Caenorhabditis elegans: one gene and its partner. The protein of the gene in region 1 interacts with the protein of each later gene in a pairwise test. Each region holds a gene or a part of one and is shown on either strand. Other genes may lie near its edges.

Region 1 (7,269 bases):
CTTTTTTATAAAAGCAAAAAGAACCGAGATATACGCTGCCAAAATAGAACTAAGGCGGTGCAGGTATTTTTTGGAAAATACGGTAGGTAACTATTTGAAAAAAAAAATTATTTTCAGACTGTCCCATCATATTAGAACCTGAAAGTCAACTTTTCACAAAACCATTGTTTATTTGTCTCAGTTTCATCAATCCATTCCGTACCTGGAGATGAATTGTTCTCTTCCACCTTTTTTCTCCTCTCCCCCTATTCAGTGTCCACCTTCCTCACTCCAAGTGCCTGAGAGCAGCAAAACCTGCTCCTCCTCTGTGTTAGCCTACACCATCCAGATTGCCACTACAGAGACAGACACACATGGGAAAAGCACAGCTTCTTCTTCTTCTTCTTTTTTCTACATCGTTTTCCTTCATATTCATGCTCAACTGAGCTCATCATTACCTTTCCCATCGGTTCGCAACCACGCCTCTCTTTTGCTTCTTCCTCTTCTTCCGGAGCAGCGACTGGGTGCCTCTTTAAAATCTCCGTAAAATGGACGTCTAAATGCTTTCAAGTGTGAAAGTGACTTCGAGACTTTTAGGTTTGGGTAGATGGCAGTAAATAATGTCATCTGATGCGTCATCCTACCTTTTTGCTACCCTCTAGATTTTACTATTAATAGGCTTAAAAATGCCGCCTTCGCGTGTGCATACCACCAAATATATAGATCTATTTCCACTTCAAATAGCTCTGTTGTCTTTGGTTTTCTTTAAAAATTGTCAACTAACAAAAAACATGCAAAATTACTATATTTTAGTAGTTAAAAAAATAACCGCCAAAATATGGTGATGGGGGTGCACGTCTAATAAGGAAAATACGGTAAGCGTAACTTTGTGAACTTCAAGCACCGAACTTCACGTTAAAATTCAAAAGAATAGACAGTAGGCAGCCTACCTTTTGGAAAATTCTCTGGAAAAATCGTCTTCACAAAATTTCCAAACTATCTGATAACACTCATTCGATGGGAAATTGTCACTTACGCGAGGTTTTTTTTGCCTCCGATTCAGAAAAAAAGTTCCATTTTTTGTTATCATATCATTATTATCAGTTCTAATGGCACATCATGTGTCAAGTGATGAGCACCATAACTTTAAATTTTCAAGGTTTTCGAAATATTTTACTCTTGTTCAACAATTCTTCATTTCAAAATGTGACCGTTTTCTTTCTACACTTATGACACTTTTAATACTGTATCACTTGAATGTCTCTAACTTTTTTTCCATTTTCCTCACAACTTTTCCATTCTTCTATTTTTCTGTAGAATGGACGAGCCCACCTTTTATTACTCCTATATAAAAGCTCTTCTCGGTGCGCTCACCTGGAGCTATGAGGAGAAGAAAAACGGAAAGAATAGAAGAAAAGAAGCGGCAATTTTGTCCCGTCCCTTCTTCCAAAAAGATGAGGACCATGAAGAAGAAAAGCGCAGCACATCCGTCAGAAGAAGACCACAATTGGTGGAGGGGCACACCTCTACTTTAAAATAGCTCCCATTTGCTCGCTTTTACTGGAAACTCTGGGGTCACTGATTTTTTGGATGGTTCTAGACTGTCCTCAAATGTATAATTTCAAAGCTGCGGCAAACTGCTACACCCTGTTGTATTTTCCGTCCAGCAATTTACTTCCAAAAATTCAAACTAAGTCAATAGTTGTTATAGTTTTTAAGTTGGTCTTTGATTATTGAGCAGTTCGGTAAACTCGCAGCCGACCTCGATGGAGTCTCGCGATAGCCTACTCCTGGAAAAAACGTTTGTCTTCTGCTTTCACCTCATGATATCAGGAAACTTATTACAGACATTCAGCCGACAAATAAACGGCTTGGCTTCTACTAGAAATGCTCAATAGATTCTAATTTAGTAGGTGTAGATATTTTCACTTTTGTTTATTTTTCTAAGTATCGAAGTACATATGTTAGAAAGTAAATAAAAATTGCTATTCTACTTTAAGAATTTTCTATATTAAAATAGTCTTTAGTAACGTGGGGTTTTCGAAACTTGCAACTTTTCAAGTGAAGATGCTCCTCACCTGAAGCATCCTGTCACTCTACCGATTGGCTGATGGGCGTGTCGTCTTCCATCTCTTCCACCCGCCCACTTTTTGAGACAGGAGAGGCTCTCGCTCCTCTCGCATCCACAAATGGAAGGCGCCTCTTTCCATCTTCCTTTCTTTTTTTTCTGGTTAGTTGAAGTATCCTTAAAGTATCTTGACGTTTTTACTATATATGACTTCTGGAGAGACATTCGAGTTTTTGGATCAAATATAGAATGTCAAATTTTGAAGAGCAATCTTCTCATATGTCAATTTTTCAATAAAATTGTATCCTACATTGTGGTGGTGTAGAACCCTCAAAAAATAATCTCTAAATTAAGAATTTCTTGATTTTAAAACTGACTAGCAAATTTGTCATGAAAAATCTCAAACGAATTTCCTACAGTTCATCTACCAAATGAATTGGGCTTGTAAACTTTTTCACCATCTACTAAAAAATTCAATAAAATAATAATCTCTTCCCAAACTACACCTCCCTCCAATATCTCTCAGCTTACTCCTAACTCCTATCCCAAATTCGTACATCTACCGTACCATTCCTCCTCCCTGTTCGTTCTCAATGACAAAGCCAGCCTTGAACAGCCATATCCAACTTTTTCGTTGCATTGTTCTCGTTCACAAGATGTATTACTCATCTTTCGCCCCAAAACTGTTCTTGTAATTTGTACAGTTCTTGTTTCTTCCCACGTACAGTTTCCTAAGTTTTCAGGATGAGCATCGACACAGACTTCCTCACGAGTGTTGAGGTAAAGGAGGATGAGCTACATGGAAATGTGCTCATTGCAGTAACTCAAATTGCACTCGGAAGGACCATCGGTGTGATTGATAAGGTGAGCTTTTGGTGTACAATTTTTACGCCGTAGACATTGTCTTAGAGGTGTCCGCTAGAAAAAGAAGTATAAGCTTATTCCCGGGCGTCTAAAAAACTCCACCGGAAAAAATACAGGTCGCTTGAACTGAAATATCTTATAGCTTGAGTAACCTATGAAATAAGCTTTCAGATGTTACACTCATATTTTGTTAGTTAGTAGTTATATGATAACAGTAATTTTAGGTTGTAATTGATAAAATAATGACTTTTTTAAATTAACAAAACTTTTTTTAAAATATTTTTACAAGCATTTTAAATTGATACCTTGGTGCCTAATCTACCTAATCTACAGTACCTTCGCCAACATTTTCAAATCCTTTCCTAATGATTCAACGTTCGAATTACAAATTCTTCCCAGAACCCAAAACCGCAATTATCGGGACCCTGAAATGTTTGGCGCCATGTGTTCCTCCCTGCTTCTTCTCCTCAAAAATTCCTTACACCTGTCTTTCCACCTTTCCCGCTCCCCCCGTCCATTACCACTTTGTTAACCTTGGGGGCACACTAGTAACCATTACATTAGGATTTACAAATCGGAACACCTGGTGCCTTGGTGGATGGGGGATCCGAGATGGGAAAAGAGACTCGATGATCGACTGTAATTGATGAATACAGTCGCTGATGGGAAAATGGATAATTGCTAGGTTTCCATAGGAAGAAGAATTTGAGGAGCTCTATCAATAAAGGAGAGGGATTGAATCCGTTGATCAAGCCGTCAATTTCCTACTGTAGCTGTCGTCGTTATCCAACTTCGTCACAATTCCATCATTGAATTAGTGTATTTCCCCCAGTTGTTTATCATCTAGAGCCGGCGACGGGTCTCTCACACTGATTGGCTTATCACGCACGCACACCACATCAAGCGGCAGTCACTCAGAATCAGAAGCCACTGAAGAAAAAGTTCATCATCTTTTGCGAGAGAGCCACTGATTGCTTATGGTTGCTTGGTGAAGGCAAACCACCTGCTCTCACAGTGGGAAAATTAGATTCCAGAAGCGATAGAGAGAGCGACAGCTCCTGCTTCTTCTTATTAGATATTGATGGGTTTTTGGGCTGAAGCTCACGGAGCACAGAGAGTGGTGAGTTGGCCGAAATGAAATAAGATTTTTTCGAGAATGAGTTTAGAATGTGTGCGATTTGTGAAATAATTGAGGGAGGAAACCCAGTACGCCCAACAAAACCCTTGTTGAGGTACTAAACTGTTTCTGCGAAGATCTGTGGGAAAATATACAGAGATTGCAGGAAAAATAATGCAGTCTTGTAACTGGTGTCACACGGTGTGACGCGCGTGACGTCATCTTTTTCCAGTCCGCAATATATCAAATGAAGTGAAAACTTAAAATTTGGATATGCAGTTTTGAAGAACGCATCGCCAAATACAGGGATTCTTGAAACTTTAATTTTTTATAACTATTCGTGTCCATTTTTTGTAAAATTAAGTCCGAAGAGACATCACCGTTGTCTTACAAGCGGTCATAGAGAAACCTACCCAGCGTGCCAATCGTTTCTTTAATCCATGTTATCACGAGGCCGTCGAAGGTCACCTTTCAGGCAGGCATACATTTTTTTACTACGATTTATGTAGATCCTAGATTCTACACTCATCATTTAGAAAAAGTACTAAAAACAATCACTTACATTAATTTTATAAATATTATTATTTTAGGCTACACCGAATGATTCGAATGCTCTTCTCATCTTGAACCTGATTAAGGAAGCTGATGACGGAGAAGATGCCAATATTTGTATGAGGCAGGAGGATAGAAAGGTGATTATTAGATAAATTTAATGAGGAAGTTATCTAACTATAAGAAAAATTTCAGACTTTTCTACAAACCAGTAAGATTATCAATATTGGAGAGCGTCTTCTTCTACAAAGACTGTCCGAAGAGGAGTGTGATGAGGAGGATCAGGATGATCTTGAGAATTTAATTTTGTTAAAAGATGAAGATCGGTGAGTATGACCCTTGAAAGAAACAAGAAAAAGAGCATGCTAAAAAGGTATGATTTTTCTCACCTTTGAAATTGGAACGATAACTGAACAAGTTGCAAAAACTGTAATTTTCCGGAATTTTTTCTATGATTTGAAGTTCTGTGTTGCTATACATAGAAGGATGTTTGAATTACACATAAAACAATTTCTAAAAAGCAGATTGAGTATACCTTTAATTTTTGAGTTGTTGAGATCAGCGTTAAAAAATTTCAAACCGGTTTTGTCGGTCTTACACAGGCGAATATTCGAAAATAAATCTCGATTTCTAACGGAAAAGTAACGGAAGAAAGATGTGAATCTTCATGAAAATCTTCTGTCATTTTCTTCTCATCGTCCTACTTTCTAACTCCCGTCGTTTTCTCGATAGTTTTCACTGGCGCGGTGAAAGTAACGGATTTCCGATAAGAGCACATCCTTCAGCATCTCCAAGTGAAGCCCGCCCGCTTTTTTTGTGTCCCGTTCATTTACATATAGATTCTACCGCTTCTGGATGACAAATTCGTGTCGGTTTCCGGAGGAGCCCTTTTTTGGGTATTTGAGCCCCTCAAAGGAAATCGTTGATTTATTTTGAGGGGTGTGCATCGGGGGAAGGAAGCGGATCTAGATTTTGCATCTTTTTTGAGAATCAATCGTTTTTTTTGCGGAAAATATAAATTTTTATCTTTTTTTCCGAAATCTTTATATCGCTAACTTAATTTGTGTTATTACCATCTTTTCTATGTTTCTTAAATTTTTAGACGATGATTCCTTGGTATCCCAAAAGTTTAGGTTTCAATTTTTACGTTAGACCTTGAACTTGCCCGATTAGATTTGAAAAGTTTGGGTTAATTTTAATATTTAATAGATTTTTCTAAATCGTTATTCGTATCAAACTATCTAGACATTGCACTTTACACTAGAAAGAATAACACAAAATTCAACTATCAAGTTTATGAAAAAGCTAAAAATTAAAATGAAAACATATTTTTATTTTAGTCATGAACTTTCATTATTCACCACATTAAAAAAGAGTTCTGTAAATTTTAAGAACAAAAATTGAAACTACGGAATATTCAAAAAAACATAACTTCATGCGTGTTTACATTTTTTGATAAAGCCAATAACATCCAAGATTCCAAAACTGCCTAACTTAAAAAGCGAGTAGCCAAACTAATTGTGTTATACGGTTTTGCTATATGATAGTATTAAAAACGTATTATATTTTTTGAGGCACTGTTTTTTAACCTTTCGAAAATCAACCATTTTCAGGCCGGACAGTACTCAAAGCTGCACAAAGAGCAGCAGTGAAGACAGCAATCTAAACGGTTTCGAGGAGTATATTCGAGAACACGGCGAACTTGTACCTGGTCAAACGCCTCCCGACGGATCACACAAGTGTGGAGTTTGTCCAAAGAGTTTTTCAAGTGCAAGGTGAGTTCGTTGAAAAAAAAAGTCGGAAAAGTTATTGGCAAGGTATATCATGCTAATGCACTCTCTCAACTGTTGTATTTTAGCAGGTGTTTGAAAGTGTTTTGTCTATTTATGCGTCTCTGTTTGTATGTTTTCATACCGTAGTCACCCTTCTCTATTCCATTAGAGGGAGGATCATTTGTGGCATAGAGACACGGAGCCCTCTATTTGCTCATCATTTTCCCGCCTTCCTCTTGAAGAAGTGGAAGGAGAAGCTCTTCTATGCTCAGGTAGAATGCTTGAAACCAGTGCTCCAGAGACTCAGGAAATTGGATCCAGGGAGGAAATGAAGATATTCTGGAGAAGTGGCTTCTTCATAATATATATTTTCTTTGTCTTGCATTTCCTAAGATATGAGAACCCGTTTACAGAGTCCTTTTATAGAATTTTGGTTTTTATAATAGAGATGTATGGAAACCGGGCAAAGTTAATTAGGATTCTTACAGCCAACAAGAAAATTTTAAGATAAGTAACGACCAAAACTTGAGCGGAGTTGAAAGTTCAGTGCATTACAATTGAAGTTTTTATTTATTATTTATTTATCTTGGGCTAGAATAGATGGAGCATCTTCACAGGACTGGACTTATATAATGGCTATCTGCCTGCCTGCCTACCTGCCTTTCGTTTTATTTATACTGTATTTGCGCAATATAAACTCATGCATTTCTATTTGTTAGAAGTTAAAAAAAACAATATTTAGAAAACGTTCACATGTACTTTGATAGTTGGCTCGCATGTTGGCAGAAGGCAGGCACAGGGAACCCTGAAGGCACTTAGGCAGGTTCGCTGGACAAAATACCTGCTGATTGTGCTGATTTATTTTCACTAATATAATCAGATATGAAACATGGACAATTGGGTACAATACTAATAGA
Region 2 (6,149 bases), on another chromosome or scaffold:
TGGAAGCCTTATTGTCAGCTCGAAAACGAGTACGAATGCCCTCCTCGATCCTCAGCGAGCTGTATCCAACAATGCCGAGCCCGTATTATAAGTGAGTTCGGGCAAAAACTTAGGTGCTTTAAAATTGGGGACTTAAACTTTCATTTTTCGATTTTCTGGTATTACGTAGACGTCTAAAGATGAGAATTTTCGCCATATCTTACGCGCATTTTCGCCAGATCTTACGCGCATACTGATACTCCAGACTGGCAGCTATTGCACTATCCTTTTAGGAAAAAAAATATGCTGCCACAATTTTTTACTTCTATTACGGGAACACAAAACTCAGGGAATGCGTACATTTGACGCGCAAAATATCTTGTAGCGAAAACTACAGTAATTCTTTGAATGACTACTGTAGCGCTTGTGTCGATTTACGGGCTTGATTGTCTAAATGAATTTTTTTACAAATATTTAATGTCAGAGATATTCCATTTTCCTTCGTTTCTTCGTATTATTTTCTCATTTTTGCTTGATTTTAATTTATTCCGAAAATCGAGTCCGTAAATCGACACAAGCGCTACAGTAGTAATTTAAAAAATTACTGTAGTTTTCGCTACGAGATATTTTGCGCGTCAAATATGTTGCGCAATACGCAATTTTTTAGTTTTTAAAATTTTTATAGTTTTTACAAATTCCCTGAAATTTTTCAGAGAATCATTCTTCGGCGCCAGTGACATATCAGAGGAGAAGGAGCAAGCACAGTTCGGTGAAGCCTCATTTGCGCCCAAATATCCATTTTATACCGATTAATATTTTATCATTTTGTCTCGAGTGTTACTTTCGCTTGGAGGGGATAATCAATAAATTCCATGCTTTTTCAAATTTTGTTGCACTTTCGATTCAGATTTTTTTTAAAAAACAAGTTTAAAAAACATATTTTCTGATTCCCTAATTCACTATCACAAACAATTCCCTAAAAAGCCTTATCACCTGAACCCCGTGGTGAGGTCTGCGTCTTCTCAGAGCACACAATGTCTTGTCGGTTTGCGTCAATTGGTGACGGTCATACGGTTTTTGGTGCTTGTTGTTTTGCATTTTTATCTATAAATAGGGTGTGAGGAGATAAGTTTCATTCAACTTTTTAAAGTTTTCGTGAGTGAGCTTCAATGCCTGCCTGCCTGCCTATAGTCTGATTTCTGTGATGATTAAGTGTCCGGTGTTTGCATAGATTTACGCGTTTCTAATTTTACTTTCTAATTACATGTATTTTGACAGTAGACACGAGGCAGGCAAGCATTTTCATGCCTACACTGAGAGACCTACTTTTTCATACTGTTTTCAACTTGGAAAGTTCTTCGGGGTTTTAAATGCTAAAACTTAATTCGTGTCGTTTTTCAGAATGAAATTCCTTCTCGCAGTTTTTCTGCTAGCCGTATGTAGCCTCGGAGAGTCGAAAAAACCAAAGTGAGCCAGTTTATTGGTTGATTTTTCCATCTTTATCGATTTTTCAGGGCACAGAAGGTTATCTACGTGCAGAAGGTGGTGCCGCCCCAGAAGCAGGTAGGATTTGAATTTTTAGCCAAAAACTTGGATATATTGAAGCTCTCCGAATACGACCTCTGCAAGGAGCAATGCCGAATCGAAAGCGAGACGCAATCCAACAAAGAACGCGTCGAGCTTTTGAAACAGGAGATCGACCGAGCTGAGCAGTTGCTCGCCGAGCACAATAAACACGTGGATGCTCCGGAAATCGCACCCGAAACGTACATGGAAGCTGGTCAGGTTCCGCCAATGCGTAAGGCTAGCCGTTACGATCATTTGAAAATGGCAGCCAACAAAATTGTCGAGTCGACGAGTGAGCTGAAAAATGCGGTGACAGGTGGAGGGGATAATTGAATTGTTTTTGAATTGTAATTGTGTAAATTTTTGAATTTTATAAATAAAAATCTGGGTTTCATAGAGATCATTGGCAGGATTGATTAGATAAAGTAGAAAATGGCATAAAAAAAACAAAATTAAAAAGTTATGAGTCAAAATCATCGTCTGGAGCTCTTCGCTTGAGCATATTCTGTACATGCTCCGGCCGTAGCACTTGTGTTGGTGGTTCGATGATATGTGGCTGATGGGTGACTTGTTGCATTTCCATTCTGAAAACTTGAAAATTTTGAATTTGATATGTATAATTTCATTTTACTACAGAAAAAAAAAACGCATGCCATAAAGATTTAAAAACAATAACTAAATGGAATATTGTCGGAAAATATGTGACTTTTAGTTTTGTGTCAAGGTTTTGTATTTTTGATTCGAAAAAACAATTTTTGAGATGAAAATGCAAATTTGAATCAATATTTTTCAAATGAAACTGACAGTAGCCACAAAAAGCATTGAAAATCGACAAGTTTAAATATAGAATTTCTGTAAATTTTTAGAATGAAAATTTCGGAAAAAATTTATATTTCGGCTCAAAAAGCGGTGAAAACTTAGTTTTTAACAAATGTTTTTGGAAGTTATCGATTAAAAAAAACTTATTCCATGTCTTATGCATTCATATTTAATTATTTTGGGGGCACGAAAATGCGAAAGTGTTTTCGATTTCTCGAAAGGTGGCTCCAAACAACACCTTTTTTTACTTGAAACAAAAAATCTTCTATAAATTTGGTACTTTTCCTTTTCTACCCCGCATTTTTCTGGAACATTTTCTTGGATAAAAATGTGAACTTTTTCTGTAATTTTGTTTTCTAATGGGGTTATTCAAGTAGTGTCGGAAAATTAAAAAGTGTAGATTAATTACGTCACAACTGTATTCAAGTATATAAAAACATGTATTTAAATACATTTGTGACGTCACAAATGTATTTAAATACATTTTGCTACATTACTTGAATAACCCCATAAGCCTGAAAATGATTCACGTGAGAATTAAATTTGAATAATTCAATGTTTTGAATATTCATTTAAAAATGCGGTGTAAAAAAGGAAAAGTATCATAATTTTTTTAAAAGTTCTATTGTGAGTTTTTATTGTTATTTTGTCATTTTTGAACCATAGGAATGGTTTTTAATAGTTTCCCCACTGGTCGTACTCCACTTTAAAATACCTTCTTTCCGTTTAAAATCAAATTTTTACAGATTTTTCAAGATATATCGAGAAAAAAAACGTACGGCTGATAACTGTCGTCAGCTTTGTACACAAAATTCTGCTGTAATTGACAGAATCGATCGTTGGGCAGCTTCAGGCCATAATTGTGTCGAATTTGCGGTAGGGGCTGCTGATTTTTGTCATTCGCCAATTGCAGAATCTTCTCACGGTCCGGAGCGTTTGTGGTCAGAACGCCGAGCATGTCGGCCGCCGTTTGAACGTCTTCTGCCTCGATTTGCGCTTTTTCAGCATGCCTGGACAGTCCACTTGACATTTGGAGGATTTTTGACGTCACTGCGTATTGAACCTGGAAAAAATCATTATTTTTTGAATTTTTAGAGCTCAATTTTGTATTTTCTCACATCCATAAGCATTGAAACGACGCGTGGATCAAACTCTTGAATTCCACACTCGTGGAGCATGCTTATTACAGCAAGCGCCTCTTTACTGTGTCCATCGGTACCACTTGCCGTCGTTTCTGTGTCTTTTTCTCCTGTATCTGCCATTTTTCTTTCTGAAAATGCAATTATATGGATTTCCCCACAAAAATAACGGAGAGGAAATACAGAAATATCATGTGAGATGTAACACGAAATACAAAAATTATGAAATTAGAATTAAAATTTAGAAAAATTCATCTTAAAACACGGAGGATACAAAGTTGTTCACTGAATCGTTGCAAGTTTTTTTTGGTGAACTGGGAGAGAGCGAATAAGAAATAGAATTAACGGATGCAAAAAAGTCGATAAATAAATAGATTGTGTGGAAAATGCCGAGGAAATTAATGGAAATGATATATTTACATCAGCTGAATTCGATTATTTTTTAGGAGTTCATGACAGCGCGTACGAAATCCGAGATATTGACGTTTCCGTGAGAATCGTTGTGTCCGGAGAGCAATTGATCGACGTCTTCATCGGATAGGCGTTCTCCTTGAAAAAAAATTGATAAAATTGGGGTAAACTTTAAAATTGTATAGACCAGCAGAACATTTTTGAAAAGCTACTTATATATTAATTTTTTGATAATATTCACTCAAAATCCTACCAAGAGTGGTGAGCAAGTGTCGGAGCTCTGCGACATTGATCATTCCGTTTCCCTCCTTGTCGAAATGCGACAACCCCTCGACGAACTCCTCAACGGTGTGCTTTTCACTGAAATTATGTAGAAATTGAAATTTATTAACTGAAAATTCGCCACGAACCGATTCTTGGACACCGACTGGAAAATTGGGACAAAGTCCTCGAATGAAAGCCGAGCTTCCCGATCGAACGAGCCGACACATTTGTGAATTTCGGCTTCTGTTGGGTTCTGGCCGAGCGCGCGGAGCACATCACCGACCTGAAATATGAATTTTGGATTAAAAAAGTAAAATATTGAATTAAAAACCTGCTGAACAGAGATTCGCTCGTCGCCTTTGCTGTCAAAATAGGCGAAAACCTCACGACAATCAGCCAAATCGTCCATTTCTCACAGCTGAAATTGGAAAATTGAGAAGACGGGATGAAAACGAAAATCGATTATCAGTGAGTGAGAAGTTGGCGATAAAAGAGAGAATGAGTCACGGGGACGAAACAATTCGGGAGGAAAATGGGTGGGCGGTAGAAGATTTTCGAAGAGAGCTGAAAACATTTCATGCCTTCCAGAAATTCTCAAGCAAAAATTCAGCCTTTCTCGGCTATTTCCCGAGAAAAACGAGTTTCACAACACATTATTCACCGCACATGAACTGAAATGGCGATCGATTGGCGAGTTTATTTGAATAGTAGACACACACAGCAGAAGAGACGACCAAAACGGGCAGTTTCCCCGCGCGGCGGTGTCCTGACTGTCCGTTCAACCGCGTGAGAGTGTGTGGAGATGGTGGAGACGCGAGGAAGAACAACATCCCGAATTCTTGTTGTTCGGAACTTTTTCTCACCGATTCATCGACAAGATACCAATAGTTTGGAGGTTATCCGGCGGGAAAAAGAGGGTTAACAGAGGGCAATTAGAATTAAAATTCGAATTTTCGAGTTGCGGCATGAGCATAGAGCACAGAGAAGCAAAGAGCGCCCAAGTTGCCACGGAAACCATGCACATTACGTGCTGAATACAATTCCTGCGAAATTTTACAGAAAAATCTATTTTTCTGCAGAATTTCAAGGATAATTATCGATAAGCCAAAAAATTGATATAAAACAAAAAATTTTCGGGCGCCAATTTCAAATGCCATGGCGCAATGCACAACGGGCGCTAGATCCCACGCGCAAATGCACAGAATATGCCTGTTTTGAAATTTATTTTTCTCGAGAATTTCTAGAATTTTCGATAATTCAAAGGAGTTTTTTGGTTTAAAAGGCGTTATTCTAATTTTTTGATCTAAATTATCAGGTATTTATCTATTTTTCACTTTAAATCCCCTCTTTGCGTAGTCGGAACACCTCTGGCGGCATCACGTGCTGTTTGCAATATTGTTTACACTTCCAAACAAATTGAATAAACACTTCAATTCTCTATTTTTTGATTCTTAACCTATTCCTTTAAATGATTTAAAATAAACTCCAAAGCTTTTACCTTCCAGAAAATGGACCACGTCGCATTGCTCAAGCAATTCGTTGGCATGTGCCAAGCGAACCCGGCGGTTTTGCACGCCCCGGAATTTGGATTTTTTAAGGATTACCTTGTTTCGTAAGTTTTCTAGTACAAATTCAGCTCAAACATGTGCCACATTTTCAGCCTTGGAGCCACTCTTCCCCCAAAACCAGCTGACAAGCCAGAAGGAAAGTGCCCGATGTCTGAGGAGCCAAAGAAGGAAACTCCAGCCGCCGAGGCAACTCCAGAGCCAGAAATCCCGAAGCCGGAGGAGATTCCATTCCCGAAAATTGACAACGAGGGAGTCATCGAGCCAGAAGAGGCGGTGGCTTTGCCAATGGGAGACTCTGCCAAAGAAGCCACCGAGGATGAGATCGAAAAGGCCTCCGAGGAGAGAGGAAAAGCCCAAGAGGCGTTTTCCAACGGCGATTTCGACACAGCCCTCACTCACTTCA

The links. The genes of interacting proteins can lie anywhere in the genome.
Region 2: the proteins of egl-43 (region 1) and taf-9 interact in a two-hybrid assay, tested with the Caenorhabditis elegans proteins (one large-scale study listed by BioGRID).

What each region holds. Positions count from the first base shown.
Region 1 is NC_003280.10:9,952,395-9,959,663, forward strand, and holds the start of egl-43 (Zinc finger protein egl-43), read left to right. Parts: upstream 1-2,790; 5' UTR 2,791-2,791; coding exon 2,792-2,911; intron 2,912-4,616; exon of another isoform or gene 4,617-4,618; coding exon 4,619-4,720; intron 4,721-4,775; coding exon 4,776-4,906; exon of another isoform or gene 4,907-4,953; intron 4,954-6,193; coding exon 6,194-6,355; intron 6,356-7,269. UniProt on the Caenorhabditis elegans protein: Probable transcription factor, required for migration of the hermaphrodite-specific motor neurons (HSNs) from the tail to the gonad primordium during HSN cell differentiation. Required for phasmid neuron development.
Region 2 is NC_003281.10:13,621,761-13,627,909, reverse strand, and holds taf-9 (Transcription initiation factor TFIID subunit 9), read right to left. Parts: upstream 3,635-6,149; 5' UTR 3,627-3,634; coding exon 3,483-3,626; intron 3,428-3,482; coding exon 3,144-3,427; intron 2,130-3,143; coding exon 2,006-2,129; 3' UTR 1,903-2,005; downstream 1-1,902. Other genes in the region: arrd-17 (Arrestin domain-containing protein 17), read left to right, coding at 1-91, 693-792; T12D8.5 (uncharacterized protein), read left to right, coding at 1,382-1,446, 1,494-1,542, 1,585-1,878; mlc-5 (Myosin-2 essential light chain), read right to left, coding at 3,946-4,052, 4,168-4,274, 4,325-4,461, 4,510-4,587; hip-1 (STI1 domain-containing protein), read left to right, coding at 5,687-5,790, 5,839-6,149.